Cricetulus griseus: one gene and its partners. The protein of the gene in region 7 interacts with the protein of the main gene of each other region in a pairwise test. Links are inferred from orthologs where the notes say so. Each region holds a gene or a part of one and is shown on either strand. Other genes may lie near its edges. The genes, in order: Csnk2b, Pygm, Adamtsl4, cone-rod homeobox protein, Bend5, Tle5 and Prkab2.

Evidence for each region.
Region 1: the proteins of Prkab2 (region 7) and Csnk2b interact in a two-hybrid assay, tested with the Homo sapiens proteins (2 studies listed by BioGRID and IntAct). The link is inferred for Cricetulus griseus from reciprocal best matches to the Homo sapiens genes PRKAB2 and CSNK2B.
Region 2: the proteins of Prkab2 (region 7) and Pygm interact in binary tests that used the Homo sapiens proteins (3 or more experiments, as listed by UniProt). The link is inferred for Cricetulus griseus from reciprocal best matches to the Homo sapiens genes PRKAB2 and PYGM.
Region 3: the proteins of Prkab2 (region 7) and Adamtsl4 interact in binary tests that used the Homo sapiens proteins (3 or more experiments, as listed by UniProt). The link is inferred for Cricetulus griseus from reciprocal best matches to the Homo sapiens genes PRKAB2 and ADAMTSL4.
Region 4: the proteins of Prkab2 (region 7) and cone-rod homeobox protein interact in binary tests that used the Homo sapiens proteins (3 or more experiments, as listed by UniProt). The link is inferred for Cricetulus griseus from reciprocal best matches to the Homo sapiens genes PRKAB2 and CRX.
Region 5: the proteins of Prkab2 (region 7) and Bend5 interact in binary tests that used the Homo sapiens proteins (3 or more experiments, as listed by UniProt). The link is inferred for Cricetulus griseus from reciprocal best matches to the Homo sapiens genes PRKAB2 and BEND5.
Region 6: the proteins of Prkab2 (region 7) and Tle5 interact in binary tests that used the Homo sapiens proteins (3 or more experiments, as listed by UniProt). The two-hybrid records come from large-scale screens. The link is inferred for Cricetulus griseus from reciprocal best matches to the Homo sapiens genes PRKAB2 and TLE5.

Annotation. Positions count from the first base shown.
Region 1 is NW_023276806.1:231,642,917-231,647,060, reverse strand, and holds the start of Csnk2b (casein kinase II subunit beta), read left to right. Parts: upstream 1-1,286; 5' UTR 1,287-1,435; intron 1,436-1,988; 5' UTR 1,989-1,999; coding exon 2,000-2,071; intron 2,072-2,586; coding exon 2,587-2,689; intron 2,690-3,462; coding exon 3,463-3,578; intron 3,579-3,956; coding exon 3,957-4,032; intron 4,033-4,144. UniProt on the Homo sapiens protein: Regulatory subunit of casein kinase II/CK2.
Region 2 is NC_048596.1:52,970,567-52,974,630, forward strand, and holds the start of Pygm (glycogen phosphorylase, muscle form), read right to left. Parts: upstream 2,856-4,064; 5' UTR 2,428-2,855; coding exon 2,056-2,427; intron 1,051-2,055; coding exon 949-1,050; intron 877-948; coding exon 798-876; intron 716-797; coding exon 612-715; intron 326-611; coding exon 194-325; intron 1-193. UniProt on the Homo sapiens protein: Allosteric enzyme that catalyzes the rate-limiting step in glycogen catabolism, the phosphorolytic cleavage of glycogen to produce glucose-1-phosphate, and plays a central role in maintaining cellular and organismal glucose homeostasis.
Region 3 is NW_023276806.1:60,816,918-60,821,184, forward strand, and holds the start of Adamtsl4 (ADAMTS-like protein 4), read left to right. Parts: upstream 1-1,341; 5' UTR 1,342-1,568; intron 1,569-1,644; exon of another isoform or gene 1,645-1,764; intron 1,765-2,479; 5' UTR 2,480-2,613; intron 2,614-3,944; 5' UTR 3,945-4,020; coding exon 4,021-4,040; intron 4,041-4,267. UniProt on the Homo sapiens protein: Positive regulation of apoptosis. May facilitate FBN1 microfibril biogenesis.
Region 4 is NC_048602.1:10,446,552-10,450,664, forward strand, and holds the start of cone-rod homeobox protein, read right to left. Parts: upstream 2,894-4,113; 5' UTR 2,867-2,893; coding exon 2,767-2,866; intron 1,088-2,766; coding exon 936-1,087; intron 1-935. UniProt on the Homo sapiens protein: Transcription factor that binds and transactivates the sequence 5'-TAATC[CA]-3' which is found upstream of several photoreceptor-specific genes, including the opsin genes.
Region 5 is NC_048595.1:38,521,294-38,524,927, forward strand, and holds part of Bend5 (BEN domain-containing protein 5), read right to left. Parts: intron 2,748-3,634; coding exon 2,534-2,747; intron 1-2,533. UniProt on the Homo sapiens protein: Acts as a transcriptional repressor.
Region 6 is NC_048598.1:102,308,328-102,312,686, reverse strand, and holds the start of Tle5 (TLE family member 5), read right to left. Parts: upstream 2,853-4,359; 5' UTR 2,676-2,852; coding exon 2,649-2,675; intron 1,198-2,648; coding exon 1,100-1,197; intron 1-1,099. UniProt on the Homo sapiens protein: Transcriptional corepressor. Acts as a dominant repressor towards other family members. Inhibits NF-kappa-B-regulated gene expression. May be required for the initiation and maintenance of the differentiated state.
Region 7 is NW_023276806.1:58,812,387-58,816,020, reverse strand, and holds part of Prkab2 (5'-AMP-activated protein kinase subunit beta-2), read left to right. Parts: intron 1-2,049; coding exon 2,050-2,183; intron 2,184-2,790; coding exon 2,791-2,859; intron 2,860-3,634. UniProt on the Homo sapiens protein: Non-catalytic subunit of AMP-activated protein kinase (AMPK), an energy sensor protein kinase that plays a key role in regulating cellular energy metabolism.

The DNA of each region.
Region 1 (4,144 bases), about 170 Mb from region 7:
CTACAACAGGAAAGAAAAAAAAAATGATAATAGGAAAGAATGTTCCCCCAGGCACTTGTCTAGGGGCCCTGCGTTCTACTCCCTTCTCCCTTCAAACAAAAACAGCAGGCTGTCTCTGAAAACCTTTTCCCACCCTGTAACACATACCGTTAGGGAATATCGGCCGGGACTTTTAAATCTTGCTCGATCTTACGTGGGGCTGGGGGGGGGTGTCTCCTTTTCCCAAAGAAAAACAGGCGTGACATCATTCCAGAAGGTGTCGGGGTAAAAGCGTTGCACTGTCACTTCCGTACCGAAAAATGGCGCTCTCGTCATCTGCAAGAGTTGACACAATCCGACACCCACCTGGCACAGAGACGCATGCGCAGCAGCCAACCACAACAAAACACCCACAAGGTTCAGTTTCCCGCGCTGGAACCTTCCCAAGCATCCGCGTCAGGCATCGCGTGCCCAGACAGCGCGAGGGCCCAGGGGGACCTGTCGGTTGGGGTCCTACTTTTACATAACGCCCCCACAATGCTCTTCGCCACCCTCGACGTGGTCCCTCCCGCTCCAAGCCCCTCTTGTGGAGCCGGGAGGCCTGAGGACGCCAGGGAGCCGCGGGATGCCGGGCAGCCGCGAGACGCGCTAACACCACGGCGCCCCTCACCGCTACTCCGAGCAGGGCTCGAAGAGCAAGCAGCTCACGTGGGGTCCGCAGCAGCAGCAGCAGCAGCAACAGCAGCAGCAGCAGCAAGCAGCAGCAACACATGGAGAAGTGCAAAGGGATGAGCGGCAGAATGGCAGGCGCCACCTCAGGTTAGCGCGCGGGGCGGTGCAGCAGGTCCCCCGCCCCCGCCGCCCGGCTCGGCAGCCCAAGCCCTGCGACCTCAGCCCCGCACTCCGAGCCGCACCTCCGGGCCGCATGCCTGGTCCTCGGCGACGGTGTCAGTCCCCGGGGCGGCAGGGACGACCGGAGCGGGACGGAGCGGGCGCGCAGCGGGGACCTCAGCGGCCGCCGGCGCCGGCTCGCAGCCTGCCGAGCCCAAAGCGCGTAGGACTATATTTCCCAGGCTTCCCGGTCGGGAAGGCGGCTGTAACCTGGCTTCCGCTTCCGGTGGAGGCTCGGCTCGCCCCGCCCCCAGGCGGCTTCCGCTAGGGCCTCGCGACCCCGGAGTCATGCGCGCGGACTCTTGGGATTGGTGGTTCGCCGTCCCCGCATCGCGTCACTTTCTGCCTCTCTACGGGACTCCATTTCCCGGCGTCCCTAGGGGCAGGGGCGGTCCTCGGCGCCTGCGCGTTGCCCTCTCTCCCTCCCCACCCTCCCCAGTTCCCCTTCCCCCCTCCCCACTTCGCCTGCCGCGGTCCGCTCGGCTTCCTGCGCTGTAGCGGTCGCTGCGGTTCCTTCGAAGCTCGGCTCCCCTTCCCCGCCCCAGTCCCAGTCCCCGTCCGGCCGGTGAGTCTGCGCTCGTCCCCGCGCCGCGGCGCCGGGCTCCGCGCTCCGAGATGTGGGGGCGAGGAAGGAAGGGACCGGGTCGGCGGCCGAAGGAGGCCGGGTGGCCTGAGGAGAGGAGCGGCTGTGGGGACGCTCGTGGGTCCCGCGGGGGTGCGGGGCTCCCGCCGGCGCCGCGAGGCCCCGAGAGGCGGGCTCGGGGGGGAGGATGGACTCGGGAAGCCTCGGGACGGGCGCCAGGCGAGTGCCTCGGTGGGGCCGCGCGGGCCGCGCGCGGCCGGGGGCCGGGGGGCCGGGGGGCCGGGGCCTGGCCTCGCGCCGGGCAACACCCACAGATCGGGACCTGTCACCCCCTGGGAAGGAGTGGAGCTGGTTCTCACCACGCTGTCGGGGGGCTGAGGTAAAGAAGAGAGGCGTGGAGAGCGGTGCTTCACGGGCCGGGGCCACTCAACGCCAGTGGCCTCGGATTCCTCCGCCGTTGAGGAGACCGTGTGTGTGGGAGGAGGGAAGAGACCAAGAAACAGCCTGGTCTCCACTTAACGCCCTTCTTCCTCAGCCGACGTAAAGATGAGTAGCTCTGAGGAGGTTTCCTGGATTTCCTGGTTCTGTGGGCTCCGTGGTAATGAGTTCTTCTGTGAGGTGAGTTTAGCTGGCTTTCTGGGCCCTCTCCACGTGCCCTCGGTGTTTTCGTTGTATGTTGTCTGAGATGAGATTTCCCCCGAAGCTGACTGTGTAGCCCAGACTGTCCTTGAACTCCTGGCAATCCTAGTGCCTCAGTCTCCTGAGCGCTGGGGTTCACTCTGTGCATGGCTAACAGAGGTATCGCTGGTGACCGTCAGGAAAGTTAAAATGTTTCATGTAACATGAAAACCACAGTGTGGTAACGTAGGAAATGATCAATGCCTGTGAGAGTCTGATGTCCCAGAGCAGAGAGCAAACCCGGGTCCTTTAGAGGAGGGAGACAAGTTGAATAATGCGCTGTACCTTGTTGGCCCGGAAAGAAGAGAGCTGCGGTTTCTGTGGGAGACGGAACACCTCTGCAGAAGTGAGAATAGGAAACAAGGGGAGCCGATGCGGTCGTTTGTCTCCTGGGCCAGGTGAAAGACGGGGCTTCCCACACTAGTTTCAACCTCTTGACTCCCCTGTCCCGGTAGGTGGATGAGGACTACATCCAGGACAAGTTTAATCTGACTGGACTCAATGAGCAAGTGCCTCACTACCGGCAAGCTCTAGACATGATCTTGGACCTGGAGCCTGGTAACGTGCCTGCCCCCAGGGCCGTCGCTGCGTGTGGGGTCCATGATATGTGCACTTGTGTGTGCTTTGGTTTCTTCTTATTCTGGTCTCTGCTCGCTTGCTTCTTGAATTTTTCTCTTTTCTTTTTCGGTTTTTCCAGAAGGGTTTCTCTGGCCTTGAACTCACAGAGATTCACCTGCCTCTACCTCCCGAGTGCTGGTGTTAAATGCATGTGCCACCACTGCCCAACCGCTTCTTGAATTTCTAAATTTCCTTTTGATTCTCTAGCTCTTCTGTCTATTCCCGAGTCTCTTGCTCGCTTGTTTGTTTGTTTATGTGTTTTCTCCCCCACCTCTCCTCTCCATTCATAACCCAAACTGGACTTTACCACTTGCTCTTCCTGCCTTGGCCTCCACGTGCTGGGTTTTGTATGGCACATACACCACTGCCTGGCTTCTTCATTATTTTGATTCCCTACCTGACCCTTGCCTTCAGGGACTGGTAACATTTGTTTCCATGCTCTCCAAATGTAACTCCACTGTCTCTCACAATGCCAGTCTTCTGGTGTGTTGTGTGCTGCTGCTTTCCTCCTGCTGGTCTAGAGTGCCACCCTCTGCAATTATGTTTATGTGTTGGGAAGGGGAAGAAGCTGGCAGAGACTAGAGAGGTGTGGAGAGAGGGCAGTGCTGATGGCCTGGGTGATGGATAGGGTGTGTCAGAAACAGGTGCTGGATAAACTGTAGGAGGCCACCTTGGGGATAAGGTGGGGTACAAGTGGCCATCCCACCTTTCAGATGAAGAGCTGGAAGACAACCCCAACCAGAGTGACCTGATTGAACAGGCAGCGGAGATGCTTTATGGGTTGATCCACGCCCGATACATCCTCACCAACCGAGGCATCGCCCAAATGGTGAGGCTCTGCTCCTGCTTCTGAGGCAGTGAGACAAACAGGTGCATGAGGCAGAAGGCATGTTTCGTACCTGTCAAGAAGTCTAGCAGAGGAGACGAGGAGAAGCCCAGAGCTGGGCTGAGAATCCAATCCTCACTGAGGGTCCTACTGAAGGTATTGTTTTCAGGGAGGGAGATGAGGCCATGGATAGGGAACAGAGAGAGCAAATGGCCCTTGTGTTCTGCAGCCTGCCAACTTGAGGAAAGCAGTTGAGAAGGAAGCTTGAGGACCTGTCTTGACAAAGAAGGGCTTCTAGTTAGAGGTGGGAGGCCTGGGAGGTGGGGAAGTGAGGTGCTCTGCACACGTACTCACCAGTCCCTTCCATTTTGCACACCTCAGTTGGAAAAGTACCAGCAGGGAGACTTTGGCTACTGTCCTCGTGTGTACTGTGAGAACCAGCCAATGCTTCCCATCGGTGAGTGTTGGAGAGGGGAGAGGAGGGCACTACTTGCCAGTCAGGTTGATGTGGTCAGTGCCTGAGCCCTGTGGGAGGGTGGGAGGACTTGGGGTACCTGGTCTTCAGGGTC
Region 2 (4,064 bases), on a different chromosome or scaffold from region 7:
CTCCCAGCTCTGGCTGTGTGACCTCCAGTATATCGCTTAACCTCTCTGAGCCTTAGTGCCCTCCTTTGTAAAATGACAGTAGATTCAAGAACCTTCAGTTTGTTTCCATGTCCTATTTTCTCTAGGAGCTCTCCTCCCTTCTGCCTCTCACTAAGTCCCCCCCAGAACCTGTACCCATCTTCTTCTTCTTCACCTGTGTGTCCACCCATTTGGCACCCTGGCTGGTGTGCTCCACTCGGCCATAGAAATGTACAGGCAGCGTGAACTCAGGGCGGGCCTTCTCCCAAGGGTTGCCATAGCGAAGCCAGTCATCAGCCTCTTCCATCTAGAGGGTCAATGGGAACAACACAGACAGCATGAGCTGTGGGGACTCACGTCCTGTGAGTGGCGGAACAGCGCAGGAACAGTGTCCTGGCTTGGTGAGCCACTCAGCAGGACACAGTATATCCTAAGCATTCCACAGGGGTGGACCACCTGTTCTGGGGGGGTCACCAGCTGGCTCTGAGGCAAGAGGCAAGAATGTTTGTCTGGAGAGCTGGAGTGGGTTCATAGTCTATCCAGAGGTGGATAACCAAGTGAGGGACCCCAAGGCTGGGGTCAGGGCTGCTCACCTGCCAGCCCCCACAGATCTTCTGATTAAAAATCCCAAATTCATAGCGGATCCCATATCCATAGGCAGCTAGTCCCAGTGTAGCCATGGAGTCCAAGAAGCAGGCTATGGGTACAGGAAGTGGGTATCAGGAATCTAACAAGAGGGACTGACTGCTCCACCCCACCCCCACAAGCTGTGTATTCACCTGCCAGGCGCCCCAGGCCGCCATTCCCCAGCCCTGCATCTTCCTCGATCTCCTCCAGCTCCTCCATGTCCAAACCCAGCTGAGAGAAGGGTGGCAGCGGTCAGGCCAAAGTGCCAGCATGGGAACCCCCAACCTTAAGTGCTTCCCCCACCTGGTAAGTAGCCTCATCACAGGCGTTCTCCAAGGCCAGGTTCACCATAGTGTTCTGAAGCGTCCGTCCCATGTAGAATTCCAAAGACAGGTAGTAGATCCTCTGCCCAGAGACAGGGAAGAGGGATCAGGGCCACCCATTGACATTCAGCCAGGCACAGCTGCCTCTGAACCTCTTAGCCTCCTCCTGTCTTACTTGCCAAGACCCAGCATGACTCATCTCTGCCACCAATTCCTTTCTCCCTGCTCAGAAGAGCCACTCAGATTTGGGGGTCCAGTAGACAAGAAAGGCACTGGTCCCTACATGCCTTTGAAATGCCTTTTCATCTGGCCTCGGTTTCCTCTTCCAGAGAAAGAGGCTGCGGAGGCCTATCTCAGGGATTAAGGTGCTAGTGAAAAGCAGGGACTCCTTCCGAGGTACATACCCCTCCTAATGTAACCCATCAGGAAGTCAGGACATTGAGAAGCACCTCTGAGTGCTCCCCCAGAAGGCATTGCCAAGGCCCAGAGGAAAAAGTCATTTTCAAGGTCACATGGTGACTCAGGGCTAGACCTGCCATCTCCTGTCCATGCACGGTTGTTTCCTTCAACTCAAGCCTCCGTCCAGAGATGAACAGAAGCATAAAGATGCTGAGGGTGCCCAGTCTCCCCGTTTCCTGGGTCCCTCCCTGCCCCTCCCCCACTCCTGTTGTGGAGTTTTAGGTTCCTGACATTTACCAGTGACCCTACCAGACATTTGATACCTGCTGCCCCAGCTGCCCCAGCAGTGCCCTGCCTGTGGCACAAGCAGACTGTGCCATACACACATTTGATGACATGTCCTTCCATGCCAGGTCCAAACTGGGTGACAGGGGGATACATTTCATGCCCACCAGCAACCCCCTCCAACCTTGTCTGGCACATATGTAAGCAGCCTGCCTACCCTGAGCACCCCGGGGCTCCCTCCTCAGTATTCTTTCTGTCCAGCACCCCTGGATCCTCCAACCCCAGGGAGGTTAAAACAGCAATTTAGCTTGCTGTAGAAAACTTGGGCTTCAGGAAAGGACAGCTCACATCCAGGCCTCACTCCCAGCTCATTTCCCACGCAGGGTGTCCCCTACTGTAGCACCTTTGGGTCCTTTTCATAGTAATGCTGCTGTGTGCGGATCCAACGTCCCACGAGGTGGTCCCGCACGGTGTGGGCCAAAGCAAAATAGTAATCTCTGGGGGTGGCCACATTTCGGTCCTTGACCAGGGTGAAATGTAGGTGTCGGTTGAAGTTCTTTTTCAGCTCAGACACATTCTCCACGCCGGCCAGGCCGCGAACACTGATTTGCTTTCTCTTATCCTGGTCTGAAAGAGGTCTGGACATGGCTGCAGGAAGGCAGACGGGACTGGACAGACTGACGGCCTCGGTGCCTCCAGCCAGGGAGTGGAGCTGCTCAGCTGTGAGGGGATTTAAAGCCTGGCTCAGGGCAGCATGACACGCCTCCCCGGACATGGGAGGGTCTTGGCCTTGAAGCTCAGGGAGCTATTTTGGGGGCAAGTGGAGGAGAGGAAGGGAGGGAGGGAGGAAGGAGGGGCGTGTTCACAGCTGACCCACTTCTAGGTTTCCTAAGCCTCTGGCCTTGTCTTCTGGCCCCTTGCTTTTGGAGGATTGGAGACAGGATTGGAGAGCGGGACGAGGCATGCCTAAAACATTCTGGTTGAGACCTTGTCTATGACATATCTAATCTAGACTCTTTCCTGAGCTATAGACTAAAGGTAGGACTGGATTGTGGACCCTCCTTAAAGAGGCCAAGGGGAGTCAGGCAGTGGTGGCTTACACCTTTAATCCCAGAATTTGGTAGGCAGAGGCAGGCAGATCTCTGGGAGTTCAAGGCCAACCTGGTCCTCAAAGCTACACAGAGAAACCTTGTCTCGAAAACTTAAAAAAAAAAAAAAAAAAAAAAAAAGGCCAAGGGGTTGTCACAAGTGCCAGACACATTTTCCTTCCCTCAGAGCAGCAGGCTTGCTTGTGACACTTGTCTAGAGTGTAAGGACTTCTGCTTCTGTAGAGCTGGTCAAAGCCACAACTCACCTGGCTGGGACACCTGCACACAGGCGGGGAAGTCATGTGCATGGGCAAGAGGAGGAGCCACAAGTTGAGAATGAATGTGCGCTAAACAGAGAGGTGCTGCTAGTTCAGAGGAGGGTGGGCAGCTGTGAAAAAGGGAAGCCAGGGGTCCTCTTTCAGAGGACACAGGTTCAATTCCCAGAACCCACATGGCAGCCCCCACACAGACCACATGTGCAGGCAAAACACCAATGCACATAAAATAAATTCAAAAAGTAAAGAGACCAAGACCCTGGGTTGCAGGGAGTGCTGTGTGGAAGGATGCATGCCTAAGATAGAGGGCCACTGCGCTCACCCCACCCCCACCAAAGCACAGTGCTCTGAGCTTCCTCCTGTTGCTGTCTCTCAAGGAGCTCTGAAGTGACCTTTTCAAGAGGGATAGTCGGGTTACAGGACAGCTTTGTCTGAGGAAGCAGCCTGAAGCAGGGGCTACTGGGAACTATAGTCCTGTGGGTCTGCAAGAGTGAGACAGCATTCCCCACCAGTTCGTGACTCCCCCAAGTGTCATCAGTCTGTGCAGTCTCAGCCACAGCAGGACCATAAATTCAAATCTTATCCTATTTTTTTTTTATTTTTCTATTAGTTATTTTGAGGGTCTCACTCTGTAGCCCTGGACATCCTGAAACTTGCTATGTAAACCATACTAGCCTTAAACTCACAGAGACCATCTGGCCTCTGCCTCTCAAGTGCTTGAGCTAAAGGTGTGCATTACCACACCTAGCCAGGAGCTTGCTTGGGCTACAAGTACTCAAGGGCAGCCTGGGCAAATCACTGAGATACAATCTCATAATACAAAGAGGGCTGGGATATGGCTCAGGGTTAGAGCACTTGCCTGGTCCCTGTGCTCACTTTCTAGCACCACCAACCCCAACAAACTAACCAAGCCCTGGATCCCAGCACCGAGTTCTCCCCATGATCCACTGGCAGGTGGGTAGGCGACTGGACGCTTTCTCTCCTCCTGTTCCCACCCAGGCTATACAGCGGGCAGGGATCCTTTCCTCCGTTTCACCTCCACAGCCTAG
Region 3 (4,267 bases), about 2.0 Mb from region 7:
TCAAGTTTGGGGTCAGCTTGGGCTACACAGTGAGTTCCCATCAACCTGTCCTATTGTTATCACAGGGCCTGTCTCAAAAACAAACAGTAGCATTCTGCCTTTTTCAGGGCTGGGAATGGAAACTGGGCTTCCTGCGTGTAAAGCTCACTAAGTTACATCCCCAGCCCCAGGACTGTTTTATAGACACACCCATCATCTTTGAGATAGCTCCTGCGTCCACAGAGCCCCATATTAACTCCAAAGTGGTCAATGTTCACTGGCAGGGTCTGTGCTATTAGACTGAGCACTTTCGGGATGGAGACTAACTTCTATGCCCTCAGCAAGAGCTATACAAGAAGTGTTAGGCGGGGCACCAAGGGCCTCTGTTGTTTTGTGGGGTCACAAGACAATGTTGCTAAAACTTCTATATTTGTGTGTTTTGACATTTAGGTTGTGAACCTGGCCTTTAATGGCTGAGTCATCTCTTTAACCTTGATTGGGTGTTTTTGCTTTATTTTTTTAGATTTTTCAAGACAGGGTTTCCCCTGTGTAATAGCCTTGGCTGTCTTGGAACTTACTCTGTAGGCCAGTCTACCCTAGAACTTGCTGCGTTTCCTAGGCTGGTCTTGAACTTGCAGTGGTCCTCCTGCCTCAGTCCACCAAGAACTGAGATTAGAAGCATGCACTACCATGCCCAGTATGTTTTCAAAAAAAATTTACAAGGTTGGACTGATATGGTGGTGTACGACTTTAATTCCAACACTTCCAGGAGCAGAAGCAGGTGGATCTCTACATAGTGAGGTCCAGGTGGCTCAGGACTTAATAGTAGGACCCTGCCTCAAAAATAAACAACCAAGCCAGGTGGTGGTGGCACACACCTTTGATCCCAGCACAGGCAGAGGCAGGAGAATCTAGTGAGTTCGAGGACACCCTGGTATACAGAGTGAGTTCCAAGACAGCCAGACCTGTTACAAAGAGAAACTCTGTCTCAGAAAAACCAAAACGAACAACAACAGCAAAATAAATAAACAAACAAATAAACAAACATCTACCTACGAAAAGACGTACAAGCAGAATATAAATAGAATAAAAAGCATAAAAAGGTAAAACTCTTTCTCATCCCTTCTTCTTCACTCGGGCACTCCTTCTGAGTCATTATTCCACATGAAGATGGACAAACATTTCCAAGCCTAATATACACATCAAAGTCTCCCATTCTACAGACGACACTGCTGCCGCACTGATGTTGAAGTGCTAGTGAAAGACCACAGAGCTGGCAAGCTCTCGAGCTGAAATTCAAATCCAAATTTGTCTGACTCATAATTCAACGTGCATTCCTTCCGCTAAGCTCCGGGGTGTAAAATTTTATGGATGAAGAAACCGAGGCTCACAGACATCCTCGGCCATCAGAGCCACACGGTTCACTGCCCAGCATGGGAAAAGAGGAGGAGATGGCACGGGCTGCGTGGAGGAGAGGGCCTCGGCTTCGGTGGATCTCAGCTTGAGGAGGGCCACATGGGTCCAGTTTGTAAATCCCCCTTGCCCGTGCTCTTCGTGTACAAGCTCCACCCGAAGGCTGCTCTGACAGGGTCGGTGGGGTCCCAAACCCTGGGGTGGGGGCGGGAACGATGCCCGCATGGCCTCTAGCCGTCGGGGGCCGGCGCGTGGCGGGCGGGGCGCGGGCGGCACGGGGAGGAGCCTGCCGCGGGCGGGCGGCGCTGTCCCCGGGCTCCCGGCCCTGGTGGCGGCCGAGGAGGGCAGCTGGAGAGAGCGGGCGCAGAGAAGGTAGAGCCTCCCCGACCCCCGCCTGGGCTCTGATGGTCACGGAACAGCGGACCCTGGGCCGAATTCCTGGGGAGGGGGTCTGGTCCCATTACCCGGGCGAGGGCTTGAGCCAAGATTCCTATTAAGTCACATAGTGAAGTTGGAAAACATACGGGACCTCCCTGCAGCCGGCGCCACCCGCTCCTCCCCGAGGGGCTTCGGGAGGATGCACCCCTACGCCTGACTCCGAGAACGCAGGGATAGGGTGTCCGGGAGGGATGCGGGTGGGGCTCTTCGCACAGCACAGCCTTTTGGGAGAGGTTGGGGGGAAAGACAGACACCTGTTGGGATGGAATTCTAACAGGACAGCAACTCCCCTTTGCCAGTCCAGCCCTTACTAGCGCTCCTTTCTTCCTAGCTCATTTGCCCGAGGCGAGCCCAAGGGTGAAGGGGTTAGCTCCATACAGGTCACTTTCCTTGCTGTCAACGGCCCAGTGTGGGGTGTGAGCAGGAGCAGCCTAGGCTGGTCCTTACCAGAGTCCACCTTGACTTCAGGGTGGCCACCTCCAACTTCTGTCTTCCTCACCCTTGGCACAACAAGCATGCATTTGTGCCGGGAGGGGGAGTCTCCTGCTTCCCTATGCAGGGGAGGGTGGGGTGGACTTTTCCAGAGAGGGAGCCAGGCCTGGCCCTGGCCCCAGGAGCTCTCATCACCCCCCACCCCTCACTTCTCCAGGGAGCTGCCAAAGCCAGCTCAGGACAGGATTATGTGTACTGGGTAGACCACGGAGAGGCAGCAGGGACAGACCTGGGGGAGCAGAGAGAAGCAGGAGGTGGAGAGGGGACCAGCATCGGACAAGAGAGAGACAGGTGGTGCCCATCACTCCTTCTTCCAACTTCGAGGGGTTGAACATGGCTCCTTTTCCACCAGGGCTGTTGTGGACCTCAGTGGCTGGCCCAGCAAGGGGAAGGAGAGGGCTCAGCCACTTTGTTCCTGTCTTCAAATTCCCAAGTTCTGGGGTCCCGGGAGTGGGGGTTTGGCTAGCTTTTGCTTTCCCTCTGTTCTTTGCCTGCCCTGAGCTGGCCCTGTGTTGGCCAGCAATGCTTGGATTCCTCTGGTGGTGCCATTTAGATCCAACAGAAACAGTGTTTTTCCTGGAAAGCAGAGTTGAGATGGGATGAGGGGTGTGGGTGGGAAGGGCCTCAAAGAGAAGGAGGGGGCTGGAGGACAGGGCCTTGGGAGAGACAGGCTATGGAAGCCCCTCTCTACAGCATTCAAGGCTAGACTTCAGGGTGGACTTCCCGGGTATACCAGAAGGCGAAGCTGGTGACTGGGAAGGATGAGCAGCTATGGCTGCATCTCTCTCCTTCCTAAGTGCCCAGCCATTTTGGCTGAACATCGGAAGAAAAAAAAAGAAGAAGAAGAAAACTAGCTGTACATGAACTAGGTTGCCACGAGCCAAGGCCTCGTGGATGCTGGCACCCACAGGGAGGTTAAGTCACCGCCTCTTCTCTAAAGATGAAGCCATTAGCCCACTTAGTTTATCCCTTGGACAAAAAAGTGCCTGTGGTCACCCAGATGTGCCTGGCTGTTCCTTCATAAGGAGCTTTATCTAAGAGAGGGAGAAAGGTCTGGGAGGCAGGTAGGAAACAAATACTCGGGTTTTTTATTTTTATTTTTACTTTTTTTTTTTTTAAGGGGGAAAGAGTTTTTTTTGTTGTTGTTGTTGTTTTTGTTTTTTTGTTTTTTTTTTTTTTGAGATAAGGGTCTTGCATCACCCAGGCTGGATCTTCTGCTCCCCGACTCAAATGGTGGGATTAAGGCTTTTGCCCCCACACTTGGTGTCAAGGGCCCTCTGGTACCTCATAGGGGTACCTGGCATAGCCTGCCTCCTCTAGGTCCTGGAGCTCTGGGAGGAAGAACCTCCTGGTTCCCCCTTCCTCCACCCTGCCCTTCCTCGGGCCTCCAGAGGAGCTAAGTCCATCTTGGGCCACAGGGAGGGAACTAAACTGAACTGGAAGGCTGAGGTCAGACCCCCACCCTTGACTCAGCAGATGACAAAGACAGTGTTCCTTATTGCTCCCACCCTTAGGTCCTAGAGGGGTGGACCAGTTTTCCCTCCACTCTGCTGGTGCTGTGCTGGGACAGCCCTTTAGTCTTCCGGCAATCTGCAGGGGTAACCACTGTGCTTCTTCCTCAGAGTATCCTCCGTGCCCAGATGCCAGAGTAGCTAACCTGCCCCTGCCTCCCAGCCCAGGGGCAGTCAAGGGAGAGCAATGGAGACCTGGCTGGGCAGGTAAGAGCAAGGGCTGTCAGTCTCTAATAGTAAGAGCAGGGAAGGGGCCCGGCAGTTGTGGCACACACTTTAAACTTGGGAGGTAGAGGCAAGTAGATCTCTGTGAGTTTGAGGCTAGCCTGGTCTACAGAGAGAGTTTCAGGGCAGCCAGGGCTACACAGAGAAACACTGTCTTGGAAAACCAAAAAAAGAAAAAGAGAAGGTAAGGGATTGTTAGAAGGGGCCTG
Region 4 (4,113 bases), on a different chromosome or scaffold from region 7:
GTTCAAAGCCAGCCTGGTCTACATAGTAAGACCTTGCCTCAAAATAATTTTAGCCAGGAGGTGGTAGGGCATGTCTTTAATCCCTGGCACTCAGGAGACAGCAAGACTGGCAGATCTCTGTGAGTTCAAGGTCAGCCTGGGTCTAGAAAGCAAGTTCCAAGACATCCAGAGCTGTTACACAGAGAAACCCAGTCATGGAAAACAAAATATAGTTTTAAGATTAAAAACAAATAAAAAAAATCCAGGCAGGGGTGGCACTCTTTTAATCCCAGCACTTGGGAGGCAGAGGCAAGCAGATCTCTGAGTTCGAGGCCAGCCTGGTCTACAGAGTCAGTTCCAGGACACTGAGAACCCTGTCTTTGTTTTTTTGTTTTTTTTTTTTTTGGTGGGGAGGGGGGGTTCGAGGCAGGGTTTCTCTGTGTAGCTTTGGAACCTGTCCTGGCACTCGCTCTGGAACCAGGCTGGCCTCGAACTCACAGAGATCCACCTGCCTCCCGAGTGCTGGGATTAAAGGCGTGCGGCACCAATGCCCGGCTGCTACTTCATAATTGTGACTGTTACTCTGTGGCCTGTCTTTCCTCCACTCATTCTGGATCTAATAAGGACCCATCGAAGATCATAGTAAGGGACTTGGCGGTGATGTCACACGCCTTTATTCCCAGCATTTGGGCGGCAGAAGCAAGTAGATCTGAGTTCAAGGCCAGCCTGGTCTACAAAGTGAGTTCCAGGATAGACTCCTGAGAAACCCTGTCTCAAACAGGAGGAGGAGGAGGAGGAGGAGGAGGAGGAGGAGGAGGGGGAGGAAGAGGAAGAGGAAGAAGAAGAAAAAGAAGAAAAAGGAGAAAAAGAAAAAGGAGAGAGAGAGAGAGAGAGAGAGAGAGAGAGAGAGAGAGAGAGAGATCACAGTAAAGCAGCAGAGTTCCAGAACATCCTACCTGGACCCTGGACTCAGGCAGGTTGATCTTGAGAGCCACCTCCTCGCGTGCATACACATCCGGGTACTGGGTCTTAGAGAACAGGGCCTCCAGTTCCTCCAGCTGGCTTCTGGTGAACGTGGTTCTCTCCCGCCGCTGCTTCCTAGGGGCGCCTAGGTTTGGGAGAATGAAAGAACCCTCAGGTTAGCTGGGTCTGCTCGCTGGATGCCCTGATCCAGTGGGACACCAGCCCTGTCCTTTCTGCCCAGACAAGGGGCTGTGTTTATTCCCCGGCCTTCTAGCACCGGCTCAAGTCTCCAGAGCTTTCCAGTCAAATGTCCACAGGAGGGAACTGCTTTTAGCCCTGCAAGGATTTGCCCCTTTTTGTTCTCAATTCTCTCCAACCTCCTTTCCCTCCTCCGCCCTCTTCCTCCTCTTCCTCTCTCTTCTCCCCTTCTCTTTCATTACACTATGTAGCCCATACCGACCCTAAAATCCTGGGATTGCCTGGTCCTCCTACCTCAGCCTCCCAAATAGCTGGGAGTTCAGGCAGGAGCCACTGCACCAGACTCCGCTCCTGAACCTTATTATTCATAAAAACATATTCATGGCCAGGCAGTGGTGGCGCACGCCTTTGATCCCAACACTCCGGAGGCAGAGTTCGGGGCCATCCTGGTCTACAAAGGGAGTTCCAGAACAGGCTTCAAGGCTACACAGAGAAACCCTGTCTCAAAGAACCAAAAAAAGGCCTGGCATTGGTGGCGCACGCCTTTAATCCCAGCACACGGGAGGCAGAGGTAGGCGGATCTCTGTGAGTTCGAGGTCAGCCTGGTCTACAAAGCGAGTGCCAGGATAGGCTCCAAAGCTACACAGAGAAACCCTGTCTCAAAAAAACAAAAACAAAAAAAGAAAGAAAGACACATTCGGTAGAAACATGTTGTTAAAAACCAAGCACTTCAGCCCATAAAAGCGATGTCTCTATGACTCAATATAAAAGAAAGAAGGTGGGCTAGCAAGACTGCAGTGTCAATTATGTACAAGCCTGAAGACCTGAGTTCAGTCCCTGGGACCCACAAGGTAGAAGGAAAGAAATGACTCCCAAAAGTCATCTCAGACCTCTGCAAGACAGCCGTGGCTCCTGCTTTCCATCCTGCATGCAAAAACTCATGCAATCGTTTTTTTATTCTCTAAACAAAAAAAAAAAAAAAAAAGGTGGCTCCTGCCTTTAATCCCAGCACTCGGGAGACAGAGGCAGGAAGATCTCTGTGAGATCAAGACCAGCCTGGCCTACAAGAGCTAATTCCAGGACAGCCTCCAAAGCTGCAGAGAAACCCTGTCTCAACAAAACAAAAGAAAAAAAAAATGTGGTCTACATAGTGAGTTTCAGGCCAGCCATGGCTACATAGTGAGAATTTGTCTCAAAAATGAACGAAGGAGGAAAAAAAAGAAAGAAATAGAAAAGAGAACTGTTAAATAAGTACCATAGTACAGCATGATGGTGCAGGACTATAATCCCAGGCCTCTAGAGACTGAACCAGGAGGCTGGGGGTGTGGCTCCATGGTAGAGCCCCCTGCTTAGAATCCCAGAGTTGAAGGGCTGGAGGCGTGGCTCAGTGGAAAAGCACATGCCTAAAACCCCCCAGTGAGGGTGACTCACAGCTCCATAGTAAAGTACTTGCCTAGAATCCAAGAAAGCCCTGGATTCCAGCCCAACAAGCTCTACTCCAAAAATAAGAGACGGAGACAAAGAAAAGATAGTACCGTGGTCATTAGAATGCTCACTTCTTTTAGAAATAAAGTTTTACAGACTGATGGAAAAACAAGACAGAGATGGGAAGAGGAGCACACTTACTTGAGTATGGGACTGCCTGGTGCATCAGGTCCACACTGGGGCCATTCAGAGCCAAGGCATTGACCGAATAGTGAGGTCCCGGGTTCATATACGCCATCATGATCTTCTGTGACTGGGACCCAGATGGGGGCACCTACAAGAGAAAGGGGTGTTCACTCTTCCCACTGCCAGGGCACTGACAAATTGATACTCACATCCTGTTCAGGGGCTCTTCTCAGGAACCATTCTCACCAGTAATCCAATCTCGTCTCTCTCTTTCTCTTTCTCCCTCTCGTTTTTTAGAATCCAAGTGTTGGCTATGGTACATTCATTTAATTCCTTAAACACTCACACTGGTGAGACAGAGGCAGGCAGATGACTGTGAGTTCAAGACCAGCATGGTCTACAGAGTGAGTTTCAGGACCTTAGAATATAGCTTTAGCTGTCCTGGAACTCCTAATTGTTTGTTTGTTTGTTTTGTTCTGTTTTTCCGAGACAGGGTTTCCTCGGTTGCCTTGGCTGTCCTGGAACTCACTCTATAGTCCAGGATGGCCTCAAACTCAGAGATCCACCTACCTACCTCTGCCTCCAGAGTGCTGGGATTAAAGTATGCACCACCCTTCCCGGCTCTCAATTTGTAGACAAGGCCACAATACCCAACTCAAAAAGAAAAGAAATGTTTTGCCAGGTGGTGGTGGCACACGCCTTTAATTCCAGCACTTGGGAGGCACAGGTGGGTGGATCTTTGTGAATTCAAGGCCAGCCTGGTCCACAGAGCCAGTTCCAGGACAGCCAGAGCTGTTACAGAGAAACCCTGTCTGGAGGGCAGGGGTGGGGTGGGGGGTTCTTTTTGGTTTTGTGCAACAGGGTTTCCTGTTGCGGGCTGACCTGACATTAAACTAGCCAAGGTTGATTTGATATTTCTGACCCTCCTGTCTCCACCGCACAAGTGCTAAGACTCTAGACATTAGCCATCACTCCAAGTGTGGGGCAGGTATGTGTATAGAAGCAGAGGGGAGGCCAAAATTCAACCCCAAATTTGTCCATCAGGCCACCTCATATTTTCATTTCATTAGTTTATTTTATTTTTGAAAGGTCTTATATACCTCGGGTTGGCCTTAAATTTACTAAGTGCCTGAGGATGACCTTGAACTCCCGATCCTCTTATTTCCACCTTCCGGGTGCCAAAATCACAGGTCAGCACCACCATACCTGGATTATATGGTGCTGGGTACTGAACCCAGGTCTTCACCAATGCTCGGACACACACTCTACCTAATAAGCTACGTCCCCAGTTCCCACCTTGGTTTTTTGTTTTTGTGTGTGTGTTTGTGTGTGTGTGTGTGTGTGTGTGTGTGTGTGTGTGTG
Region 5 (3,634 bases), on a different chromosome or scaffold from region 7:
GCTGGAGGCCCCAGGGGAAAGGTCAGTACTCTTAAATGCTTCCTGTATGTGAACCCTGAACAAGATGTTCCTAAAGCTGAGCTTCTAATGGAGACGAGACAGAAAGGTAATTATCAAATAAGCAAGAAATGCTGTGCAGAACCTTTATTAACAGGGGCTGTGTAACAGACAGCACTGGAGGCAGGAGGATGACTAGGAGCTTGTGATCAGCTTGGTCTACACAGTAAGACCCTGTCTCAAAAACCAAAAACCAAGATGAAGCACATAGGTTTTCAGGCAAGGCAACAAAAGAAGAGGGGAAATGATTAGTAAATGCCTAAAGATTCATATTATCTGAAGAGAGAAAGTGAAAAGTCAGATCTATTGTGGGGCAGGATCAGTTCCAACATCTCAGGGCTTCATGTGTTCAAGCCTTGTTCAGGGCTGGTACTGCACTTGGCAATGAACACGGGGGAGTCAGCTACAGTTGCTTGTACCAGAGGCAGACTCTGGCAGTTAATCTCAGACCCAAACATGACAGTTATCTGAGGGTACCCGGGACCTGCTAGGTCACACCCTGACAAGGCATACAGCTGGAGGTTGGCACTGACTGGGCGAAACAGGGCTGCCTTCCGGAGAAGGCCTTTCTCAGGACGGCCTCCTGAATAAAGCTGCACCATTGTAGACATCAGCCAACTAAAGGTTCTCTCTTATTATCTAAAAATAAGTGGCTGCCTTCTTCAATTAATCATGGGCTAACCAGGAGGGGAGACACCTGTATTACATGGGGAAGGCTACAGACTAGAGTGAGAATATGTGGGGTTGAATCCAGACTCAGACACCCTATAGCTGTGGCCTTAGCTTAGCTGCATAATCACACAGTGTCTTTCCACATTGACCTCCAGAACATACAATATAACTGCACATTTCCCAACCTTAGTCTGTGACAATGCTGGCTCTCCTTGATCTTCCCAGGGGACACTCCACCAACTGATGGCTTTTGGGATCTCTGCAGACCCAAGGGGCCTACGATTCCTTTCACTTCCTTGTCAGACTGGCTCTTACTCACCTCCCTGGCCTCACTCACAACTGCAAAGCCACTTGAGCCACTTCACCTGAGTGTGCTGGCCTCTGCCCTGCAGCCTATTCTGCCTGACCCACCATTCCTCCACCTGTCACAGGCTGCCTTTTCCAGCCTAACTCCCAGCTGGACGCCATCTGTTCTAACAGGCCTTTTCCCAAACAGAGCTGATGCGGCCCTTTGTCCCATCACATCTTGTGTGATGCTCAGAGGACCCAAAGCAGCCTGACTGCATCATAGTTACATTTGTCATTGGGACCCAAAATGTGCTCAACTGTAGGACCTGCTCAAACAGGACATTCACCCGTGTCTTACTTTCTTCGTTGAAATGTGGTAGACCTGGCCATTTATGATTAGGAACAGACTCCAAAGCCGCCCTTGTCCTCCTGGATTTCCTCCTCCTATTATTACCTGGGAAAATGTGCCCACTACCTCCGTGACCCAGTTTCTTTAACGGTGAAAAGAATAGTAACAGCAGCCAACAGTAGGGGTGTTGAGAGCACAGTGAGTTAATATATTTAAAACTGCTTAGTACAGATATTATTTTAATAAAATGGGTTACAACAATTACTCAGAATAATTAGCACTTACTATATTCACTCTTCTCCTTATACTATACTCCTTACTTTGTTCTGACCTACAGTACTGTTATAATATATATACATTCCTCATGAGACTGAGCTCCTTGTAGATGCTCTCTGTGTCTTGTCCTTTGTGTTCTCAAAACCCAGGAGAGGGTCTAGAAAAGAGTAAGAACTTAGGGAATGGATGGGGAAGGGAAAGAAGAGGGTGAGAAGGTAAGAAAATGGAGGAAGGAAAGAGGAAGGGAAAGAAGGCTGGAAGGGAAGGAGGAGGGAGGCAGGGAAGATGAATGGATAAGGAGTATGGGGTAACACCATATCTTTGGGTGACAAGACTCCCTGGCTCTCTGCCCGCCTTCCCCAACACCAGGAAGGAACCTGTATCAACTATCAACTGCTGCTTGTCTCTCTGTTCTAGACACGGCTAAAATAAGAAGTTTCCCCAGCCTTGACCTTTACTGCTCTGTAGACACACCCCTTTCCCATCTGCACTCCTCTGTTCAAGACACTTCTGCCTCCCGAGGTACCTCTGCACTCTCAGCCCATCTCCTGCTGAGGAGCACTGAAGGCCCTTATTCGGCAACCTTCTCTCCCTGGGATTCTCCCCAGCTTTTCCAGAGGGGCATCCTCCCTTCCTGACAATTCCCAGCACAAACACTGTCCCTCTTGCATGGTATGCTACACCCTTGAGCTATATTTGTGTCCATATTCACTTGTCCTGTCCAGTGTGAGATCTCTGGTGGCAGCTATGATGTCTGCCTCTATGCTCCTGTGTCCCACTGGGGGTCTGGCATACAGGGGCTTCAGTAAGCATTCACCAAATTGAAACAATACATTTCTGACAGAGCAAAGGACAGGATGTCCAGCATTGTGCTTCCACTGGGTATGCTACCTCTGACGATGCTTAGCTTGTGAGGAGAGAGGGGTGGCTTCGGGATTGCATCCTTCTTTTTTTTTGTGGCGACTCCTGTGACACTTCTGTTTTTCAGAACATCTGTTCCCCAGATCATGACTGCCAAGTTCTTTGTGTACTTAGAATCTCCTTGGGTTACTTGTAGCTGGTGCCATTTCTCCTCATCAACCCAAATCCCGCTTCCCAGATGAACCTGAAAGAGATAACACCACACCTGTTTAGTCCCACAGGAAGGCAGCCGGAGGCTGCTCTTGTCCTTTAAAAACACTACTTCTCCACTCTAAGGGATCATGCCAAAGAGGCAATAACGGCATCACTTACAGAGCTCTTGCAATGTAGCAGGCCTTATTCTAAAGTTCTGACTTCACTCTCCTAAACAGAAGGTGCTATGATACACTTGTCACTTCCGATGGGAAGAGCAAGTTCAGTTATGTGAAGTGACTTTAGAAGTCACTCAACTGATGAGTGGCACATCTGGGATTCGTGCTATTATCACATGGGTGCTCTGAGCCTGACCCATCTCAGTGTATTATGTGCTCGTGTGTGTATGTTATACGCTAGAAAGATTAGACCCTCTTCTACCTGCACATTCTGAGGCTCACCCCCTGCTAACATGGTGGAGGCTGCTTGCAGGACTCACCCAGCTATAGCATTCCCTGGTGCCCAGGCCTCCTCTCCAAGATTCTGAATTGTTTGGTCTGGGTGTGGCTCAGACACCAGGATGGTTTAGCTCCCTAGATAGTTCCAATTTAGAGCTAAGTTATAAATCTCTGCCAGCTGGCAGGAGCAGAGCAGCTGCCTGGCTCTGCAGCCAGCAGGCGTGGAGTTGGGTGAGTCCTTCTCCAGCTCAAACTGCAGCGTCCCTATCTACGAAGTGGGAGACTTGGATTTCATCTCAAAGTTCATCTCTCTGGCTCAGAACACCTAGGATTTTAAGAAATTAAATGCAACCACAATGTATCCGGTTTGATTTGGGTAGCGCACACATCAGAACACCATCTCGAGCTTCCTAGAAGAGAGACAGCCAGAGGGATGATGAAAGCCAAGAAATCACTGTACCCTCTCTACTTCCATCAATTA
Region 6 (4,359 bases), on a different chromosome or scaffold from region 7:
GGAACTTATTCTCAGTGTGGATGCTGTTCCCGAGTTCGACTTCCCCCAGCCAGGAACTCAGGCCCGGGCTCAGAGAAGGCATCCCTGAGGAGGGCGGGGCCACGGACCCGAGTGGGAGACCATGGGGGGGGGCACACCTGTGCCCTCTCTAAAATGACAAATGCTGGGGCTGTGGCCTGGTAGGTAGCTTCCACTGACCTAGCACATGAAGCTCCACTGGGCCCCTTCTTGACTGTCATCTACTGTTAGCAGCTCAAGGTCATCCTTGGCTACAAAGGGAGCTGGAGGAAGCCTGGACTACATGAGACCCTGTCTCAAAATAAATACCAAAAAGTAAAAATAATAAATTAAAAAAAAATCACAAACCCAAGATTTCCTTTTTCTTGGAGAACTCTGAGTATCTTTCAAAGACTATTACTATTATTACTATTTGTTTTCTGAGACATAGGTTTGCTCTGTACCTCAGGCTAGCCCAAAACGCCTCCATCCTCCTCCTGTGTGTCTGAGAACTGAGTGTTGGGCCGCACCCCCATGCTCACTCACTGTTGGGAGTACAGGGTCAAATGGGGACCCCAGGCCACGCTTTCCCCAGTCCCCTACTTCAGGCTGCTTCTGTGCTGTGCAGCCCTCGGAAATGGCTGAGCTCTCTGGGCTTCAGAGTGATTAGTTTCACACATGAGAAACAGGAAAACAGTTTGTGGGAGCCCGTCAGTTGGATGGTCTGTGGGACACCAGCAAGCTCCCCCACTCCATAAGTGGACAGAAAGAGAAGGAGGGGCTGTGTGGACCTTGGCTGATTAATAACCCTCTCTGGACACCCACTGCAGCCTGTGTTAAAATGAGAGCATCACGCTCTCTGGGGACCCGGCTTCTGAAGCAACACACACTGTGTGCCTCGGTTTCCCCCTCCACACTACGGGGCTGCTGGTTTGGTTTTGGACTCAGGGTGGTATGTATCCCAGGCTGGCCTCTAACTTGCTAAGTAGTTGAAGATGACCTTGAACTGCTGACCCTCAAGCCTCCACCCCCTCCCAGCCTTTCTCCAGACCACAGATAACCCCTACATTCTGGGGGTGCGGCCTTCCTGGCGCGGGCTCACCTGTGGTACTGGGCTTGCAGCAGCTGGAATTCATCTTTGATCCGGTCGCAGGAGTCGGAGGTGGTGAACTTGAGCTGCTGGGGGAGGTGGGAGGAGCCCTGCGGGTGCGGGTGAGGGTGCGGGAGGGTGAGGGCCTGCTTGCCCGCCCACGCCCTACTTCCTGGCTGAGCTCTGCAGGCCCCAGCAGCACTCTCCTAGGAAGCCTGCAGGGGGCTGGGAGGCCCCCAGGCAAGGAGGCGCTTTTACCGTTGGTCATTTTGGGGGGCAGGCACCCCATCCTCCAGCGGCCTCTGAGGGGTCCCCGGGAAGCCCCTCTACGTCAAACAGGACACAGGCCTGCCTTCAAAGCCAGCTTGGAAGATGCACCTAGCTACCACCCCACACTTCCTGGGCGTACCCCCATCACACCTGTTTCCTCAGGGGACTCCCCCCAAAGCTGCCCAGCCCCAGGGGTGCCTCGCGGGGTTCCCCCCAGCCCCAGTGAAAGCCATGGGAGGAAGACAGGCCTGGGGTCAGGGAGGCAGATGGTAAATGTTAGGGTGCAGGGGCGGGCCGAGAGGTGTCCCTGGGGGTGAGGGGATGCACAGGGCTGGCATCTGAGGACACTGGGCCAGGAGTTGGGGTGTAAGGTTTTCGGATCTGGGGAGCACAGTTAGAGTCTGGGGTCAAGGCTGGGAGCAGGGTGGGGGCTGCCGGGCCACCGGGAGCTGGGGTGGGAGGGATGTGCGGGGGGTCGGCGCCTGGAGCTGGGGGAGGGCGGGCGTGGGGGGTCCTCGGGCTCCGGACAGGGGCAGAGGCACAGTGGGCGTTATAAAGGCGCAGGGTCCCCCACACTGCGGTACTGAGGGTGCAGGATGGGGGCTGGGAGGTGGCAGGCCTCTGGGGTGCGAGGCCTGCAGCTGCAGGACACAGGGCCGGGCTGGGGGGTGGCGCTGGGCCCGGATGGTGACGCCAGGCCCGAAAGGGCTCGGGGGAGAGGCAGTGGGTACGGAGCCTATATTCTGGGGTGCGGGGCAGCCGACTTGGGGGCAGGGATGGAAGTGCAGGGCCTTGGACTTGGGGGCAGGCTGGTCTGGGGCCATTAGCGAGCTGGTGCGGAGGGGTGCGGGAGCGCAGAGGTGGCGGTGCAAGGTCTCAGGCTGGAGGACACGTGCGGCCTGGGCTTGGGGTGCTGCAGCCCTGGGCCTGAGCCCCAGGGCTGGGAGACAGGCCGGATGCGGCTGGAGTGGGGTGCGGGGCCCCGGGCTGAGAGACAGGCTGGTCCGGAGTCGGGATGGGCAGGCAGCACGGGGTGGGCTCGAGGCCGGGATCAAAGTTCAGGGGTCCGGGCTGAAGGATGCAGTGCTGGGCCGGTGGGGTGCGCACGGCCTGGGTGGTTGGGTGCAAAGACCCCGGGGACAGCGCCGGTGGGAGCCCCTGGGGCAGGCCCTGGGCGGGGAGACAGGCGGGATCCGAGCTCCGGGGGTTCAGTGAGCAGAGCTGGGGATGTAGGGCGAGCACCGGGGGTGCAGGGCGAGCTCCGGGGTGCAGAGCGCGGGGTCCCCCTTACCGAGTGCCGGCTTTGCGGAAACATCATGTCAGTCGCGGGGGGCGCGGGCTGCGCCCCGGCTCGGGCGGCTCGGGGGGCGCCGGGCGGCCGCGCTTTGTCCCCGATCGGCAGCTCCGGGGCCCCGCGTCCCGCCTCCTGCGCCGCCCGCCGCCCGCCCGCGCCGCCCGCGCTATTGTGTAATGGCGACGCGGTGCCGCCCGGGCTCCCGCTCCACCTGCCGCGCCCGGCACTGCGCAGGCCGGACGCCCCACCCGTGACCTTGGCCCCGCGCGCCCCGCCCCCGCCGCGGCCCCGAGCCCTGGCCCGAAGCCTGCCTCGATCCCCCACTCCACTCTCAGGCCCCAGACCCACAGTCTGAGTGCCCAGACCCCAAGGTGCATTTATGAATCGCCTACGGTGTGCCTCGCCCTCTCTGGAGTGGGGAGGGGAGGCTTGGCACGGCTGGGGGCACGGTGATACCCGTCCCACGGAGGTAGGAAGGGGCCAGGCCTGTCACCACTGACTGAAGTGTACAGGCTGGAGGACCAAGAGTTCCAGGCCAATCTGCGCTACAAAACACCCAATCTCAAAACAGCAACAGAAAGTAAAAGACTTGAGTGATGGTGCAAGGCTTTAATCCCAGTGCAAGGTAGGTTGAGACAGGTGGAAGCCAGCCTGATCTACACAGTGAGTTCCCATACAGCCTGGGCTACATGAGCCTCCGTCTCAAAAATAACAAAAGTTAGAGACCTACTGGAAACAGAGGTGGTGCACACCTTTTAATTCCAGCGCTCCGGAGGCCCAGAGGCAGGCAGATCTCTCTGAGTTTGAGGCTAGCCTGGCCAGGATTGCATGAGCCCTTTCTCAAGAATAATTAAAATAAAAACATAAATATATAAAAGGAAAATAGTTCCCGGGGCTAATTAGTGCCCAACATTTCAGAGCAAGCTGAAGCAGAGGGATTCCTACAATTTCTGGCCAGCCTGAGCTGTATGGCAATTGTCTGTCCCATACTTGAGACAGACCCTGACAAAAGTCGACTGTTATGCACAGGTGACCCACAAAGATCAGAGAGCAGAGGTGCCGGGGCGTTGATGGCACACGCCTTTAATTCCAGCACTCGGGAGGCAGAGGCAGGCAGATCTCTGTGAGTTCGAGGCCAGCCTGCACCCCAGAGCGAGTGCCAGGATAGGCTGCAAAGCTACACAGAGAAACCCTGTCTCGGAAAACCGAGAGAGAGAGAGAGAGAGAGAGAGAGAGAGAGAGAGAGAGAGAGAGAGAGCAGAAACAATAGGCCCAATAGGCCTGGTCCACTAGGATGCCCAGCCCCAGTGAGGAGCTAAGGGGGGGGGGTATGCAGTTGAGGGGAAGAGGGAGCATGGAGACTCTCTGGCCCATAGGACAAGGACAAAGCCCCTGGGACAGAACTCACACACTGGACCCCAGGAGGCAAGGCCGCTGCTCATGGCAGGGCTTCTGGTAACAGTCCCACTGGTGAGTTTGACACTATCTTATTTAATGAAAATAGGGTCACATGTAACCCAGGCTGGCCTGGAACTCTGTAGCAGAGGATAACCCTGAATCCATGCCTCTCCTGTACCAGGCCGGCTTTCCCTATAGCTATCCTTTTGTCCTTTGTCTCACTTTGGGACGTACAGCCCCGGTTTCTTGGTGTCACCCTCTGATTCCAAACAGGCCAGTGTCTTCAAGACTTAGAAAGTCAAATGTCACA
Region 7 (3,634 bases):
TTTATTTTTGTTTGGTGTAATACCACTTTCCCCAAAGTCTTTATAGCTGTGCTTGTTCGCTGTAGTAGCAGAGGCACGTTTTGCAAACCATATCCATAGTTACTATCTCATTACTGTATGATGGAGTTGTGCCTGCCTGGAGAATTGCACACTTTCTGCACTGAGCATATGGCCTCTTGCATACAAAGTCTGCCTCTGCTACTTGTTATGCCATCGTGCAACTGACTCCCAGCAGTAAAATTGAGGGCTTGGACCCTCAGTGAGCCTCTGTCATATTGTCTGAAGTAGAGCACATAGCAGAATCTCAAGGACAAGGGACAAATTGTCCATAGCACAGTAACTACCAATTTAGAAAAAAAAAATGTTTCATTATATAAACTCAGAAAGTTATGGTGAGCATTCTTATTGGCTGGAGGGGTGGTGATCTTAAAAGGTTTATATTCTGAGGCCACTAGGACTATGATTATATTATGATCTGCAAAGTAACCAAAGAATATTTGACAGTCAATCATAATTATGTAATGGGAAGACTAAAACACTTTCGGGTTCACCCAGTTTCCTAATCCAGTGATGTAAGGCATAGAATCCATTTATTAGGAATATACAGATAATGGGTGTAGGCATGTACATAACTTTTCAATGTCCTACTTGGATTTTTTAGTGCCATGGACAGCACTTGAAAATTGTCCTGTGTTATTTACCAATGGTGTTTGTGGATATTTAATACAATGTTGTTGCTACTTCTTTCCTTTTGCCTTATATGTTGAAGCAAATTTGAGTTATTAAAATAGACTTACTAAAATCTTTTCTTTGGAACTTTAAAATTGTGAAACAAAGAAAACATAGTTCATTTAATTTTTGTAAATTTAACCTGAATGCTTTTCATTTTTTAAGTAGAATTCCGGTACCATAAAACACATATTTTTTAATTGTAAAATTTATCCTTTTATTTATTTATTTTTTTGATTATTGAATTTTAAAACCCATCTCTTTCTCCTCTCTGCCCTGTGTCAGTCACAAAGCTTCTGCCATATGCATTTGCCTGTTCTGGACAGTTCATACAAATGTAACCATGCACCATGTGGCTTCTTTCATTTAGCAGGCTTCTGGGGCTTTCATCCTTGTTGAAACATGTATCAGTACTTTGCTTGTTTGTGGCTGAATAGAAGTCCACGGTATGACAGTTCCTTCTTGGTTGTCCATCCCTTGTCGACAGACATTTGTTTTCTGCTTGGAGCTCTTACAAATTTTGCTTAAGAACACTCATGGTCAGATTTTTTTTTTTGGGGGGGGTAGCTTATGTTTTATCTTAGGTGATAAACCCAATATTGTAATTACTGGGTCACAAAGTTTCACTGTTTGAGGATGACTATACTGTTTTCCAAAGTGGTTGCACTATTGTTCATTTCTACCAGTGGTGGAAATACTGTAGTTTGAAGCCACAGTATTTGCCAGTGTTTCCCAGTACTTGCCATTTCAGCGGCAGCCATCCCACTGAGTATGAAGTGGTATTTTTTGTGGCTTACATCTACACTTCCTTGACTACAGCTACAGTGTGTTCTGTCTGCTGTAATCATTGTAGACTTAGAGTGTATAACGTTGTTGTCTGTTACTTTGGTAGAAATAAAATGAAATCTAATCTTTTCACATTGAGTTCACAGAGCATCTTTATTTCTACTATCACTTTGATTTTTTTCAAAAGCACTATGACTTGGGAAGATTTTTATCTTGAGGATGAGGAAACTGACCATATTAAAGGGATCTGTCCAAGGACATATCGCTGACAAATGGAGTTGGTTTCCTGGAGCCTAGGTGCTGGCCTCTCATCACTTCCTTACATCATGTTGCCTTGTTGGGAATCTTCCTGGTCCATGTTCAGGACAACTCAGACATTTCCTTTGCTCGCTTACAGTTACAGGCCAGTAGGTCACAAGTCCGTTGCTTCAGGACCTATATTACATTTAAGATTAATGGCTGTGTTGATAGTTTTCCTCATGCGTTATTACTAACCCTTCAACTTTCCTTCACGTTTGCATGAATATTTTTCAGACCTATCCAGCTCACCCCCAGGGCCTTATGGTCAAGAAATGTATGTGTTTCGATCTGAGGAGAGATTCAAATCCCCACCCATTCTGCCCCCTCACCTACTCCAAGTTATTCTTAACAAGGACACTAATATTTCAGTGAGTATCCTGAGCAGGTTGCTAAAGCGTCTGGGGAATCTTAGGACCATTGAGGCCAAACTTCAGGAATCTTGGGGCTGGAATTAGGACCCAGCTTTGTCAAGGCAATGAAATAAGCCATGTGCATGTCAGCAGCACTGTAGAATACTTTTTCCAAGACTGAACTTTAGGTACCAATAGCGGAATTTATAGTTGTTTCTGTTTCTAGTAAAATCAGAACCAAACTATGCTGGAATTAATGTCTACTATGACTTCTAGTCTATCACAAGATAAGGGTACTCTCACTAGGGGTTATACAGAATTCACAACTTTTTATGTAAGTAAATTTTATCTCTATTTTACTTAATTGATGGTTGATTCCCAAACCATCTATACCTGTCAGCAAGGTTTTTGTTTTAATTCTATTAAGGAAAGTTAGCAGATGTTGGGGCTTAGCATTTCACTCTTAGATTTAGGATTTTTCCAGATTTTATGATGTGGGAATACATAATTCATAGGAGACAAAGTGTTACCTATTTAGAGTTCTTAACAGTTCAAAGGAACAGTTAACTTGGTTTTGTCTGCATTTAATCACATTTGTGGGGGGTGGGGCTGTTTTTTCTCCTAGTGTGACCCAGCCTTACTTCCTGAACCCAATCATGTTATGCTGAACCATCTCTATGCGCTGTCCATTAAGGTAAGTGGTGGCCGCGACGCTCCACAGCCTCCCGAGTGGAAGGGTAAGAGTCACACATGCTTTTCGGTGGTAACTTGCTTTCTGCGGCTTTTAAAGCTGCAGTTGACACTGACAGTCAAGTTACAGAAGAGCCGTCTTTTCATACCTCAAGGCTGTTTGATTTTAAACTTCAGTCTCCTTTGAAGCTTCCCCCACCCCTCAGACAGGGTTTCTCTGTGTAATAGCTCTAGCTGTCCTGGAACTTGCTTTGTAGACCAGGCTGGCCTTGAACTCACTGAGATTCACCTGACTCTGCCTCCCAAGTGCTGGGATTAAAGGTGTGCACACCACCACCCATCAAACAAATTATTTGTTTTTGGTTCTGGGCTCAAGCTAGCTGAACTGTCAGTGATGGGGACCTTTCTGCTTCCCAGTGTCTGTGGGTGGCTGGAACCTTTGTACCACCTGTTTACTTAAGTTGGAGTTCAGGTAGTTGGATTCCATGTGCAGAAAATCAGGTATAGCTTCCTTCAACAAGTTCTTGAGTAAGACAGTAGAGCTTCCTAAGATATGGAATCAGCTGCAATGAGATGCCCTGCTTGTGTATACCACACGTTTCTATCGCTTGTATAGTAGATAGGGAGTTGGTTTTACCAGACGTCTATGTTTTTCCCACCCTTTCCCTAGAGTCCTTAGTTTCTCTGTTGCTTTAGTATCTTTGTGGCTTGAATGTTAGCATAAAGGTATGTAGTTCTGTGGCTGGCTAAGCCGGTCCTTGAGGGAACTCCTTGGAGCA